Lepisosteus oculatus: one gene and its partners. The protein of the gene in region 1 purifies or fractionates together with the protein of each later gene. This does not show direct contact. Links are inferred from orthologs where the notes say so. Each region holds a gene or a part of one and is shown on either strand. Other genes may lie near its edges. The genes, in order: tsen2, clp1 and tsen34.

Region 1 (3,747 bases):
ATAGAAACAAAATATGTTCATATAATCATTGGATTGACATCACTGCTATTAAAAGATATACACAATTCACTGCAGGGTGCCATAACAAAATGACAACTCCTTCTTTGAAAGCATTCCTCATCTTCGAGAGCATATGAGGAGCTGAGATGAAATGTTGGAACCTGTTTTTTAGTACAGTTTACTGCCTGATGGTAGCTCCATGATTTGTTTGTTTTTCCCTGTGGCTGTTATGAAAGCCTGATATCCCAGCAGGATTCTAGTTGGGGTTCCTATTTCTTAAATCATAAACTTGTTCTTGTGAAATGGGAGGTCAGACAACAATTTATTTCGAGGCTGAGTAATCAAATTCTTTGGCTCTTTCGTACACTAGCTGGGCACAGACAGGGCTTAGTGATGACAAACAAACCGATCAACACAACTTGCGGTCACTGCACACTTCAATTCTTGTCTTTTCACTTAAAAATATTCATACAGACATAGAATGACCCAAGTAAGAGGAAGAAATGGTATAGGACATACAAACTGTGGATATATACACAACACTATGCATACATCTACCTAAAAATGTGTACTGAAAAAAATAATTATAAATGTGTTTTTTGTACATTAGCATTTCTGTTAATTGACCTGACATCGAACATGCTCAAAGGTACGAGCGGGACCTGATGAGCATGTAATGATACATACACGATGTGAATTACTGCCTCGTAGTTTGACTACACGTTGTGTTCCAGCAAACAGTATTGAGTTCCTGTCTATAGTAAATGTGCTTTAGATGAGACCATGTACAGTAGCAGATATAGATGGTACCGCTGGAAAATGTGAGACAAATACACCGAGAGCAGACCCTGGATAGGCGAAGAGGGAGGCGAGAGCGGGGCAGGCGATTAAGCTGCTTGGCCGAGTCTTGCCTTGCTTTTGAAGCGCAGCTACAGTATAACCGCTCAGCTGTGCAAAACTGCAGGGTCTGATGCAGCCTGATATTGGAGATCCATCGACAGTTAATTGATCAATCCGAACTGCAGACCTACAGTAGGACGACGGGGAGTTTCAAGCGGGCAGGACCAGACGAAGACATTCGCAATGAGCCGGTGGGTGAACATTCGTAAATAGTTTAGACCTTGTTCCTCCTAAATGATTGTTTTAGCAATGAGTTTAAATTAAGAATGTTGAAGTTGGTTGAGGTCGACTTTAAGGTAGGTTTTAAACATTTTAAAAAAGATTGGGACTTTCTAAAAGAATGGAAATGGAAATGGAGTCCTCAGCTAACTAAATAAAACAGCGTCTTGTCGATAATATAGTGGGAGGTAACAAGAACAATAGATTTTCTAAAGTGCATTTACATTTGAATATCTACATCCTTTGCTTTTAAATATATATACATCTTGACTGTCTGGTTTTTTATTACGTGAGAGACATTGGTGCTATTATTGGAAAACAAAACTTCCCTTCTCTTTTGCGGTACTTATCAAAGAAAGTGACACTTTGTACTTGCTCATTAACGCATTTTATTTTTTCAAACCAGCAGAGATGCCAGTCACCATCACATCTGCCCACTGCTGACAAACCGCCAACACTTCACTGCAGAGGGCTAGGTGAGACAGGCTGCCGACAGTAAAGTTAACCACGCGTTCAGCGAAGCGTCTGGTACAATTTCCGACTTCCCAGGTCACAAGATCAACAGGCGGTCTCTTGAAAGCTGAGGCAATAGGCGCTATGAATTAAGTCATGTAAAGGAAACGTGTATTACCCATATGGTCCTCGCTCAAGTGGTAAAACCATATACAAAATATTTCCTCCTATTTTGCACAGCGGTTTTCTTCCCCAATGATCACAAGGTATTTTAAATTCATCCATACTGAACTACTGCAGTACCCACCTTGGTGACTCACGAAAGCCTGCAACAACAGTTAAACTACTGTACACAGGTCACTCATTAGCTAAATTCGAAATATAATTTCATTTAACTATAAAGGTGCCCTAACCTAGTGTTAGTGATTATGTTTTTTTTTATTATTTAAGTCTAATTTATGTCTCCATGTCTTAAGTAAACTGAGATGAGACTCCTTAAGATATGTAATGTGAAGATATGATCTATATAAACGAAGTTTTTTCGATTTGTTTGAAACTTTTTTTTAAACGTCAGGCAGACCATAGTACAGCTGTACATTATTGTACAGAACCTCTATTTTATCGTGCGCATTTGATGTTTTTTTAAACAGTCTGATTTTACAAAATACTTCTGTGCAATTCTAGAATAAATCTTTATTCGAACACAAGGCGGCGCAGTGTTTCGGAATATATCACGTAACAACTGTATCTTCAGTTGAATAATCAAAGTGCTTTAAACTTCTTTTTACATTAGCTGTGATAAAATAAGTTTACTCGTTTATACGTATGTGGCTTATATATACTGAGTGAATTTTAACAACTACATTTTAAGTGTCTTCGTATGTAGCGTATTTCAATTACTTAGGCATCCCTTAAACAATGGAAATCAGAATACCATGCGTGTTCTAGACTAGAGGTATCACCAAAAACGGCCCCCATTTCCAATGTATTGCTGTTTGTCTTACCAAGGGCTAAAATTGTTGGCCTTTGTTTAAACTTTTGTTAGTAAATTGCTTTATAAAAAGGAACCAAGTTACAGAACTACACGTTTCCGATCGGATACAATGTTGTGTAGCACATATTTCTCACGTGTGTAGCAGAGTAAGTTACGTTTGGTACTGTATGTATTTTTTTCTGAGGACCCGCTTACAAAACGTGTAAGTGAACTGTAGCTTTACGAAGCTGTAAGAATGTGCTGCATTGGGTTTTCGGTGTTTTTGTATTAGTACAAGGAACAAAGTCAGTTATGTTTTGCTTATTACGGATGTCTATCAGTTTCATTCATTGCATCTGATACGAGGATACAATGACTGGCTGTAAGCGGAACACAGCTTGATCGTAAATTTAAAATGGAAAAATATTTTAAGTAGAATACTCGCAGAAATGCATTTAAAACCATTGAAATGTCTGTGCTTTGCTTCTGATGAGATCATTTCAACTTGGTGAAAACTGTTTATAAATAAATGATATTCTTGCGTACTGGTGAGGTACAGTATACACAGTAGCTTACAACTATTTTCAAATAAGAAGGAAGTACCTTTGATGTGTATCGTAAGAAAACGTGTTCTAGAGCTCTCCATATCATGAAAGCACCAAGTAAATAATAACCTGTGCAACACTTTAATGTTTGCTTTTTTAATTTCCTGTTATCCTACATCAGTCTGCAAGGGAATTGAACTAGGTCTCTAGTCAAGAAGCACTGTGAGATGACAGAAGCCGTCTTTCAGGCGCCTAAACGACGAGCCAGGGTTTACGAGTCCTATGCGGGTCCATTCCCTGTGACAGTTTCTGCAGACAAAGGACAAAATAAGGAATGCAGGATCTACAGAGCTGAGATTGTAAACCAGCATGTCCTTGTGAGAGATCCCGAGGATATACAAGCCTTATATGGAAAGGTGTGTACGATGTTTATATTCTCTGATTACTTTTTCATCCGATTGGTTTCTAAAAATGGTTTCCTGCTTGTTTTTGTAGGGTTATTTTGGGAAAGGTATCTTATCAAGGAGCAGACCCGAGTACAACATTTCAGACAAGTGGCAGAGTAAGTTTTGTTCTGGGGATGGGAGGTTGATTCTCTCCTGTGTGACTTTAGTGAACGATTTCAGTTACAAACAGGCATTCAGATTTTCTCAAGAT
Region 2 (3,747 bases), on another chromosome or scaffold:
TGTGCATGTCCAGCTGGCCTAGCTTTCCCCAAGCTCTCCTGAGTGGAGGTGTAACTCGTCTGTGCTACACTGGGGTTAATAACATGAAAGGGAACAGGGGTCTGGGTTATTCGCCCACGTCCCTGTTTATACCTTATATTCTAACAAACTGTTACTGACCAATCATAAAAATGTTTATGTATGAACATTTTGCTCATCTTCAAGAACAAACGCCTGCTGCTGGTCTCATAAAAGGGCCTCTACCAGGGGGCCACTGACCTCAGTGGTCAGCTTGATCCTCTCGGGTTTGAGAGTCCAGCTGGCACAGCTAGCAGCAGCCATTCCGGCTGCGTGTTTTTCGCAGTCTGAGTGGTAAACAAAGGCATTGAAAAAGATCTCTGAGGTAAGGCCAAGGGTGACCGATGCCGCTCACTGCCGCCTTCGATATAACTTGCATACATATACACAGAACTAATCACTGCAAGACACACGTGTGCACCATTGCTGCATTCCCGCTTGCTGAGCGGCTGTTTTCAAAAACACCACGATACGCGGTTGGGCGTCCTGAAAGCAAACAAAGCGTTTGCGCATGCACTTCTGTCTCTTGTTCGCCCAATCAGAATTGGAGCCCGTGGCAACGTCATCCAAACAGATTGAACGAGTTACGGAGAGCCTTCTGGGAAATGTAGTAGAGTACCGCCTTTTCTAAACCGTTTTTCTCAATTAAACGTTAAAGTAACTTGAAAGTTAAATATTTATGTAAAGTACAGATCTCAGAACACTGTACTTAGTGTAATGTAGAGAAGTTTTTCTATTTCATTACTTCGCAACCTCAGCATACTTGTGTTTACTACTCCTTATGAAGAGGTTACCAACATTAACTCAACATTTATTTATTTAAGGTTATCAAAATTGTAGTACACAAGAAAGATTTAGCACGCCTGACTAGCATGAACACTCAAATCCACTTTCTAAATTCAACACCAACCTGCAGCAGCCTCTGAACACTGGTTGGTCTTTGTGTGTGTCGTCATCATCATGCGACGGAACGTGCTGCAGAAGGTGGCTCGAGGTGCTCTTCGGTTGTTTTTAAACAGCGGCGTGGGGCGCTAACGGCAAATTCATGAAGTAAGATTTGATTTATTGATATTTTATAAGTACTTTTCAGATGATTGTTATACAGGTTTTTTATCTTGCTTTCCTGTCAAGTATCATTCAAGTCATAGAAATTATTAAAATGTTGACTAGATAAACGCTGCGTTTAATCGTGACCTGTCTTTACTGAACTCAAGTTACATTTTGATTATCTTTAATTGAGAAATCCAGAGTTTTTAGGCATACCAAAGATGACCTTTCGCTTGTAAATTATGGAATAGTGTCTTGGTCGATATCATGTAGAACTAAGCAGCCAGATATTTGATTCTTGTCGCCTGCGCTGGAACCATAAGTATTTCCTACTCCAGTCATAGGTGGCTGTAGAGGAGCCGGGGACGAGGATCTGTATAAAAAATATTTACACTCGCTCTGTACCTTGTTTTTGTGAACGGAACTGCAGTTACATAAAGTGAAAAGACGAGGTCTTTCCGTGACTTATAGGAATGTTTTCTTGTGAATGGGTTTATTGCTGCAGTAAGTTGTATGAGCCACGTACATTGACGTGAGCGGACGGAGACAGAACGCGAAGTGTCTAGTTGAACTCAAAAACACGTATCAGTTACTCGTATACGTGTAACAACACCCTTGGAGAATCTGCATTCACTGATGTTTATTGAGCAGGATCAAATCTTGGCTACAAAGTTAAAACTAGAGGTTAGTTTCACTCTGAACAGTTGAAAAAATAACATTATGGGTGTCACGCCTTCTTCAGGTCTGTCTCTGTCCAGTGTCTGTACTGTATTAACCCCTCTCTCTCAGTGCAGTGTTAATGTACTGAAGTGTCCAGTCAGTGTGTCTGGACTGTATTAACCCCTCTCTCCCAGTGCAGTGTTAATGTCCTGTAGTGTCCAGTCAGTGTGTCTGGACTGTATTAACCCCTCTCTCCCAGTGCAGTGTTAATGTCCTGTAGTGTCCAGTCAGTGTGTCTGGACTGTATTAACCCCTCTCTCTCAGTGCAGTGTTAATGTCCTGTAGTGTCCAGTCAGTGTGTCTGGACTGTATTAACCCCTCTCTCTCAGTGCAGTGTTAATGTCCTGTAGTGTCCAGTCAGTGTGTCTGGACTGTATTAACCCCTCTCTCTCAGTGCAGTGTTAATGTCCTGTAGTGTCCAGTCAGTGTGTCTGGACTGTATTAACCCCTCTCTCTCAGTGCAGTGTTAATGTACTGAAGTGTCCAGTCAGTGTGTCTGGACTGTATTAACCCCTCTCTCTCAGTGCAGTGTTAATGTACTGGAGTGTCCAGTCAGTGTGTCTGGACTGTATTAACCCCTCTCTCTCAGTGCAGTGTTAATGTACTGGAGTGTCCAGTCAGTGTGTCTGGACTGTATTAACCCCTCTCTCTCAGTGCAGTGTTAATGTACTGAAGTGTCCAGTCAGTGTGTCTGGACTGTATTAACCCCTCTCTCTCAGTGCAGTGTTAATGTCCTGTAGTGTCCAGTCAGTGTGTCTGGACTGTATTAACCCCTCTCTCTCATTGCAGTGTTAATGTCCTGTAGTGTCCAGTCAGTGTGTCTGGACTGTATTAACCCCTCTCTCTCAATGCAGTGTTAATGTCCTGTAGTGTCCAGTCAGTGTGTCTGGACTGTATTAACCCCTCTCTCCCAGTGCAGTGTTAATGTCCTGTAGTGTCCAGTCAGTGTGTCTGGACTGTATTAACCCCTCTCTCTCAGTGCAGTGTTAATGTCCTGTAGTGTCCAGTCAGTGTGTCTGGACTGTATTAACCCCTCTCTCTCAGTGCAGTGTTAATGTCCTGGAGTGTCCAGTCAGTGTGTCTGGACTGTATTAACCCCTCTCTCTCAGTGCAGTGTTAATGTCCTGGAGTGAACAGTCAGTCTCTCTCTCTCCCTCAGTGATGACCGCAGAAGGGGAGCGGGGCAGTGATGAGAGTACTGGTGTGCGCTTCGAGTTGGAGCGAGAGACGGAGCTGCGGTTCGAGGTGGAGTCCGGAGAGCGGGTGCAGATGGAGCTGCTTTCTGGTCTGGCTGAGGTGTTTGGGTCAGAACTGAACCGCAACAAGAAGTACAGCTTTGGGCCCGGCTCCAAGATCGCAGTGTTCACCTGGCAGGGCTGCACCGTCAGCCTCACTGGCAAGACTGAGGTACACCAGCCTGTTCTGCGGTTGTCTGGGCTGATACTGAAAGGCCCTCAGGAGCCCATTTACAGCAGGGTGTCCAGTCCTGGTCCTGGAGGGGGCGCTGTGTCTACAGCAGGGTGTCCAGTCCTGGTCCTGGAGGGGGTGCTGTGTCTACAGCAGGGTGTCCAGTCCTGGAGGGGGCACTGTGTCTACAGCAGGGTGTCCAGTCCTGGTCCTGGAGGGGGTGCTGTGTCTACAGCAGGGTGTGCAGTCCTGGAGGGGGCGCTGTGTCTACAGCAGGGTGTCCAGTCCCAGTCCTGTAGGGGGCGCTGTGTCTACAGCAGGGTGTCCAGTCCTGGAGGGGGCGCTGTGTCTACAGCAGGGTGTCCAGTCCTGGAGGGGGCGCTGTGTCTACAGCAGGGTGTCCAGTCCTGGAGGGGGCGCTGTGTCTACAGCAGGGTGTCCAGTCCTGGTCCTGGAAGGGGCGCTGTGTCTACAGCAGGGCATCCAGTCCTTTGTGAAATTTTGTACAAATTCAAC
Region 3 (3,747 bases), on another chromosome or scaffold:
GAATAAACCTTTACCTGTTCCTTAAAGATACAACTTACCTCTTTATTAAGAAAACATTAAGAAAAGAGTTGATCAGACCCAGCCGAGGAGGCCGCCATGTTGACTGACGTCACCGCGTCCATGGGAACCGCCCCCAGGTCGCCGGAAACGCCCGAGCCCTTCCGGAGACGACCGAAGGCTGCCATATTAGAGTTGAAATGGGATCGAGTCGTGTTCCTCCGACCGGGTGAGCAAAACCAGTTAGAGGTTTCGTGCTCTCGCCGTTAAATAGAGATAACAGCTAGGGTTTTGCATTAGAGCTTATGTTCCACTTCTGCTTAAGCAGCTTAACCTCAGTTTGAGATCCAGTATTTCTAGGGAAAGCGTAATGTGCACGTGGAGAGCTGTCTGTTTAGATAGATGCTCCGGATTGCAAGTTATTTACACTCAAATACAACGCGTGCGTTAAATTAAGAACTGTCCAAGTTGAATATTGCATAACAAAGTAACAAGTACTAGACACCACAGTACAGCAGGGTTATTTTATTAAATATTCTGATTAAGATTATAATATCAACGTGTCTCTTCAAGATTTCCATTGCACTGTCGGACTCGAGCGAGGAAGGGTTGCAGATTTGCAGACTGAGTTTCAAGTCCGAAGGCACATAGCAGGGAAAACCCGCTGCTTGATGAGTTATGCACGCTCCGTGAAGGCTGCTGGTCGGAGATAAACGGAGCTAGGAAACGGGAGAAAAAGTTTCAGAGGAACAGATGAAATAATATAGCTGTGTACCCCATGGCCGCACACCCAGGAGAGACGGGGTTTGAAAGTGAGCCAGAGACTAGGGGGGACGGGAGATGCAAACAGCCAGCCGAACCCGGGTCCGAAGAGGAGAGGCTTCCGGTTGAGCCCGGTTTGGAGACGGGAACTGCGGCAGCCCAGGTCTATCTCTGCGGCTCCACTCCTCTGCTGTGGAGGGCAGCCGACGTCCGGGGGGCCCGGGAGCGGGCGGGGGTGGTGGGCACGCTCATCGGATCCCTGGCCCGCCAGCCCCGCCAGAACCTCCGCTTGGGCCGGCCGGCCCAGCTGCTGCCGGAGGAGGCCCGCCTGCTGAGGGACACAGGCCGCGCCGTGCTGGTCACCGCAGCTCCGCCGGAGGTGAGCGCCGTCCTGGGTTTTCCTGCCTCCGTTTCCCGACACCCCGCGGTGAGAGGCTCTGGCTGTGTCAGCTTGATAGGTGACCAAGTGACGGGGAAGATCTGGTTTAATTCATCTTGGCTCTTCTAGCACGAGAAGAATGTTTATATAATGATTTATAGCCAGTTTGTACATGGGGTACACTGATATATAAACTGGCTGTAAATTAACTCCCAGCTGGCAGTCCACTGGAGCCCAGCAGGTGTGAGCCTGGTCAGTACCTGGATGGGAGACCTCCTGGGAAAGCTGAGGCTGCTGCTGGAAGAGGTGTTAGTGGGACCAGCAGGGGGCGCTCACCCTGCAGTCTGTGTGGGTCCTAATGCCCCTCGTCCTTCGGATGAGACGTAAAGCCGAGGTCCTGACTCTCTGTGGTCTTTAAAAATCCCAGGGAGTTTCTTGAAAAGAGTAGGGGTGTAACCCCAGTGTCCTGGCCAAATTTTCACCTGGCCTTTACCAGTCATTGGCCTCTTAATAACTGGCTTCCTCTTAAGAACTGGCTGAACGGGCTTCATCGCTCTGCTCTCCTCCCCACTGAGAGCTGGTGTGTGGGGAGAGGACTGGAGCATCATCCAGGTGGGGCTGCACACTGGTGGTAGTGGAGGGGATCCCCATTACTTGTAAAGCTCTTTGAGTGGAGTGTCCAGAGAAGCGCTACATAAGTCTAAGGATTATTATTAATAACTGGATTTGGCTGCCTCACCCCCTGCCTCTCTTGCTATTGAAGTCTTTGTCTGTATTGACTTTGTCTGAAATAAGTGAAAGTCTGTGACCTTGTTCAGAATAGTTCCTCATGCGAGTGCCCCCCGAGTCTCCAGATGGGGGTCCGGAGTTTGAGTTTGAACGTCAGGTAGGAAGTTTTTTTCTTCCAGGCTGAAGATGGCGTGAGGGCAGAGGAGGTGGAGAGATACCGAGAGAGGCTGCAGCACAGCTTCCTGGAGCAGAAGAAGATCGCCCTGGAGGACAGGAAGCAGGTGTTGCAGAGAGTGATGAACCAGAAACAGAAGGGTAAAGGGCTGCAGTGAGGCGTACGCCGAGCGGTTGTACGAAGCTGGGGCTGCCTGGCCGACCTCTCCTGGCAGCCTCCCAGCTCAGAGGGGTTGTTCATGTCACACTCGCTCCGAGATGCCAGTCTGTCTTTCTCCCCCGTCCCAGACTCCTTCGCCTTGCTGTCTGCGGGCAGCTGGGGGGGAACGTCCTTGCCTGTGGAAGGGGTGCCGATCTCCTCCGCCGAACGGGGATAGGCACGCTGAGCCGGTTACGGGAGGGACTGTCCGTCTGAAGCCCAGGCCGTGTTCAGCTCTGCTGGGTGCGCCGGCCCCAGTCTCGCGCCGCTCCTGACCGCGATCGATTCCCGGCGCTCCTCGCGGCTGCCGTGTCGAATTGTGCCGCGGCAGAAAAGGACCCGCGCCTTCGCTGCTGTCCAGGGGGCGGCGCTGTGCGGCCGAGCGGGCGTGGTCGAGTGCCAGCAGGGGCAGCAGCTGAGCTCCGCCGACTCCTCGGCCCCCGCGGAGCTCCACGCTGCCCAGACCGCGGCAGGAGCTGGCTTCCCTTCTCTGGCCCGCTCGCTCGGCCCTCTGGGACTCTGACCCTTCTTCCTCTTCCAGACGGGGGCGCCGCCGGCGCGGAGCTGCCACTCAGGGATCGGCTGAGCTCCCTGGAGAGCTCCTTCACGTTCCCCGAGGCGGCGACGGCGGTGCAGCTGTGCACCGCCAGGGCGCGACTCGGGTACGAGCCGGAGGAGCGCCTCCTGATGGCCGCCGACTGGCCCCAGCCGCGCGACGAGAGAACGGAAGCGCGGTATCGGGTGTACCGGGACCTGCGGCGGCGGGGCTACTACGTCACGCCCGCCGGCAAATTTGGAGGAGACTACCTCGTCTATCCAGGTATGTATTCACCGGGAGCCTCCGACTCCGGTCCTGGAGTGACTGATCTCCTAGGGAACTCCCGGAAGTAATCAAATAAGCAAGTAACGTATTCGATGAAGGCAAATGATTCGTTAACGATCTCTAAATTGCTTAATTTAACAAGTGGCTGGTCAGGGCTAGCCTGTGGCAGGCCTGTAGAAGCCGGTGATTTCGCGATGAGCTGTGAAACCCGTTGGGTGGGGGCTCTCCTGGACCGGGGTCGGACCCTCCTGTGCTGCGTCACGCGAGACCGCGCGCACAGAGGGGTGTCCGCGCCTCAGAGTGCCTGTCCGCCTCTCCTCCAGGGGACCCCCTGCGCTTCCACGCTCACTTCATCGCCGTGTGTCTTCCCCCGGAGGCCGAGACGCCGCTCAGCGACCTCCTGGCTCTGTCCCGGCTGGGCTCCAACGTCAAGAAGACCGTGTTGCTGTGCTCCCCGGGCGAGAGCGGGGGGGTCGTCTACACCTCCCTGCAGTGGAGCGGCATGGTCTAGGCGTGGGGGCGGCGGTGAGGAGGAGGGGGCTCCTGTGGGGTGCGGAGGGACGCCCCGGGGTCCCGCCGATGACGAGGGTGCTGTTGGAAAGTGTGCACAGGCTGGCCTTTCAGATGACCTTCCTCCCTGCCAGCACTGCGCCGTTCCCGTGCCCGTCTCACAGATGTGCCTTT

What was found.
Region 2: the proteins of tsen2 (region 1) and clp1 purify together in Homo sapiens (affinity purification with mass spectrometry; 3 studies listed by BioGRID and IntAct, counting the BioPlex papers as one, with this or other methods). This does not show direct contact. The link is inferred for Lepisosteus oculatus from reciprocal best matches to the Homo sapiens genes TSEN2 and CLP1.
Region 3: the proteins of tsen2 (region 1) and tsen34 purify together in Homo sapiens (affinity purification with mass spectrometry; 3 studies listed by BioGRID and IntAct, counting the BioPlex papers as one, with this or other methods). This does not show direct contact. The link is inferred for Lepisosteus oculatus from reciprocal best matches to the Homo sapiens genes TSEN2 and TSEN34.

What each region holds. Positions count from the first base shown.
Region 1 is NC_090699.1:62,259,066-62,262,812, forward strand, and holds the start of tsen2 (tRNA-splicing endonuclease subunit Sen2), read left to right. Parts: upstream 1-904; 5' UTR 905-1,091; intron 1,092-1,528; 5' UTR 1,529-1,595; intron 1,596-2,628; exon of another isoform or gene 2,629-2,768; intron 2,769-3,271; 5' UTR 3,272-3,317; coding exon 3,318-3,506; intron 3,507-3,585; coding exon 3,586-3,652; intron 3,653-3,747.
Region 2 is NC_090701.1:41,819,887-41,823,633, reverse strand, and holds the start of clp1 (polyribonucleotide 5'-hydroxyl-kinase Clp1), read left to right. Parts: upstream 1-1,006; 5' UTR 1,007-1,106; coding exon 1,107-1,107; intron 1,108-2,983; coding exon 2,984-3,231; intron 3,232-3,747. UniProt on the Homo sapiens protein: Polynucleotide kinase that can phosphorylate the 5'-hydroxyl groups of double-stranded RNA (dsRNA), single-stranded RNA (ssRNA), double-stranded DNA (dsDNA) and double-stranded DNA:RNA hybrids. dsRNA is phosphorylated more efficiently than dsDNA, and the RNA component of a DNA:RNA hybrid is phosphorylated more efficiently than the DNA component.
Region 3 is NC_090708.1:2,598,944-2,602,690, forward strand, and holds the start of tsen34 (tRNA-splicing endonuclease subunit Sen34), read left to right. Parts: upstream 1-775; coding exon 776-1,138; exon of another isoform or gene 1,139-2,046; coding exon 2,047-2,182; exon of another isoform or gene 2,183-2,781; coding exon 2,782-3,060; exon of another isoform or gene 3,061-3,386; coding exon 3,387-3,574; 3' UTR 3,575-3,747. UniProt on the Homo sapiens protein: Constitutes one of the two catalytic subunit of the tRNA-splicing endonuclease complex, a complex responsible for identification and cleavage of the splice sites in pre-tRNA. It cleaves pre-tRNA at the 5'- and 3'-splice sites to release the intron.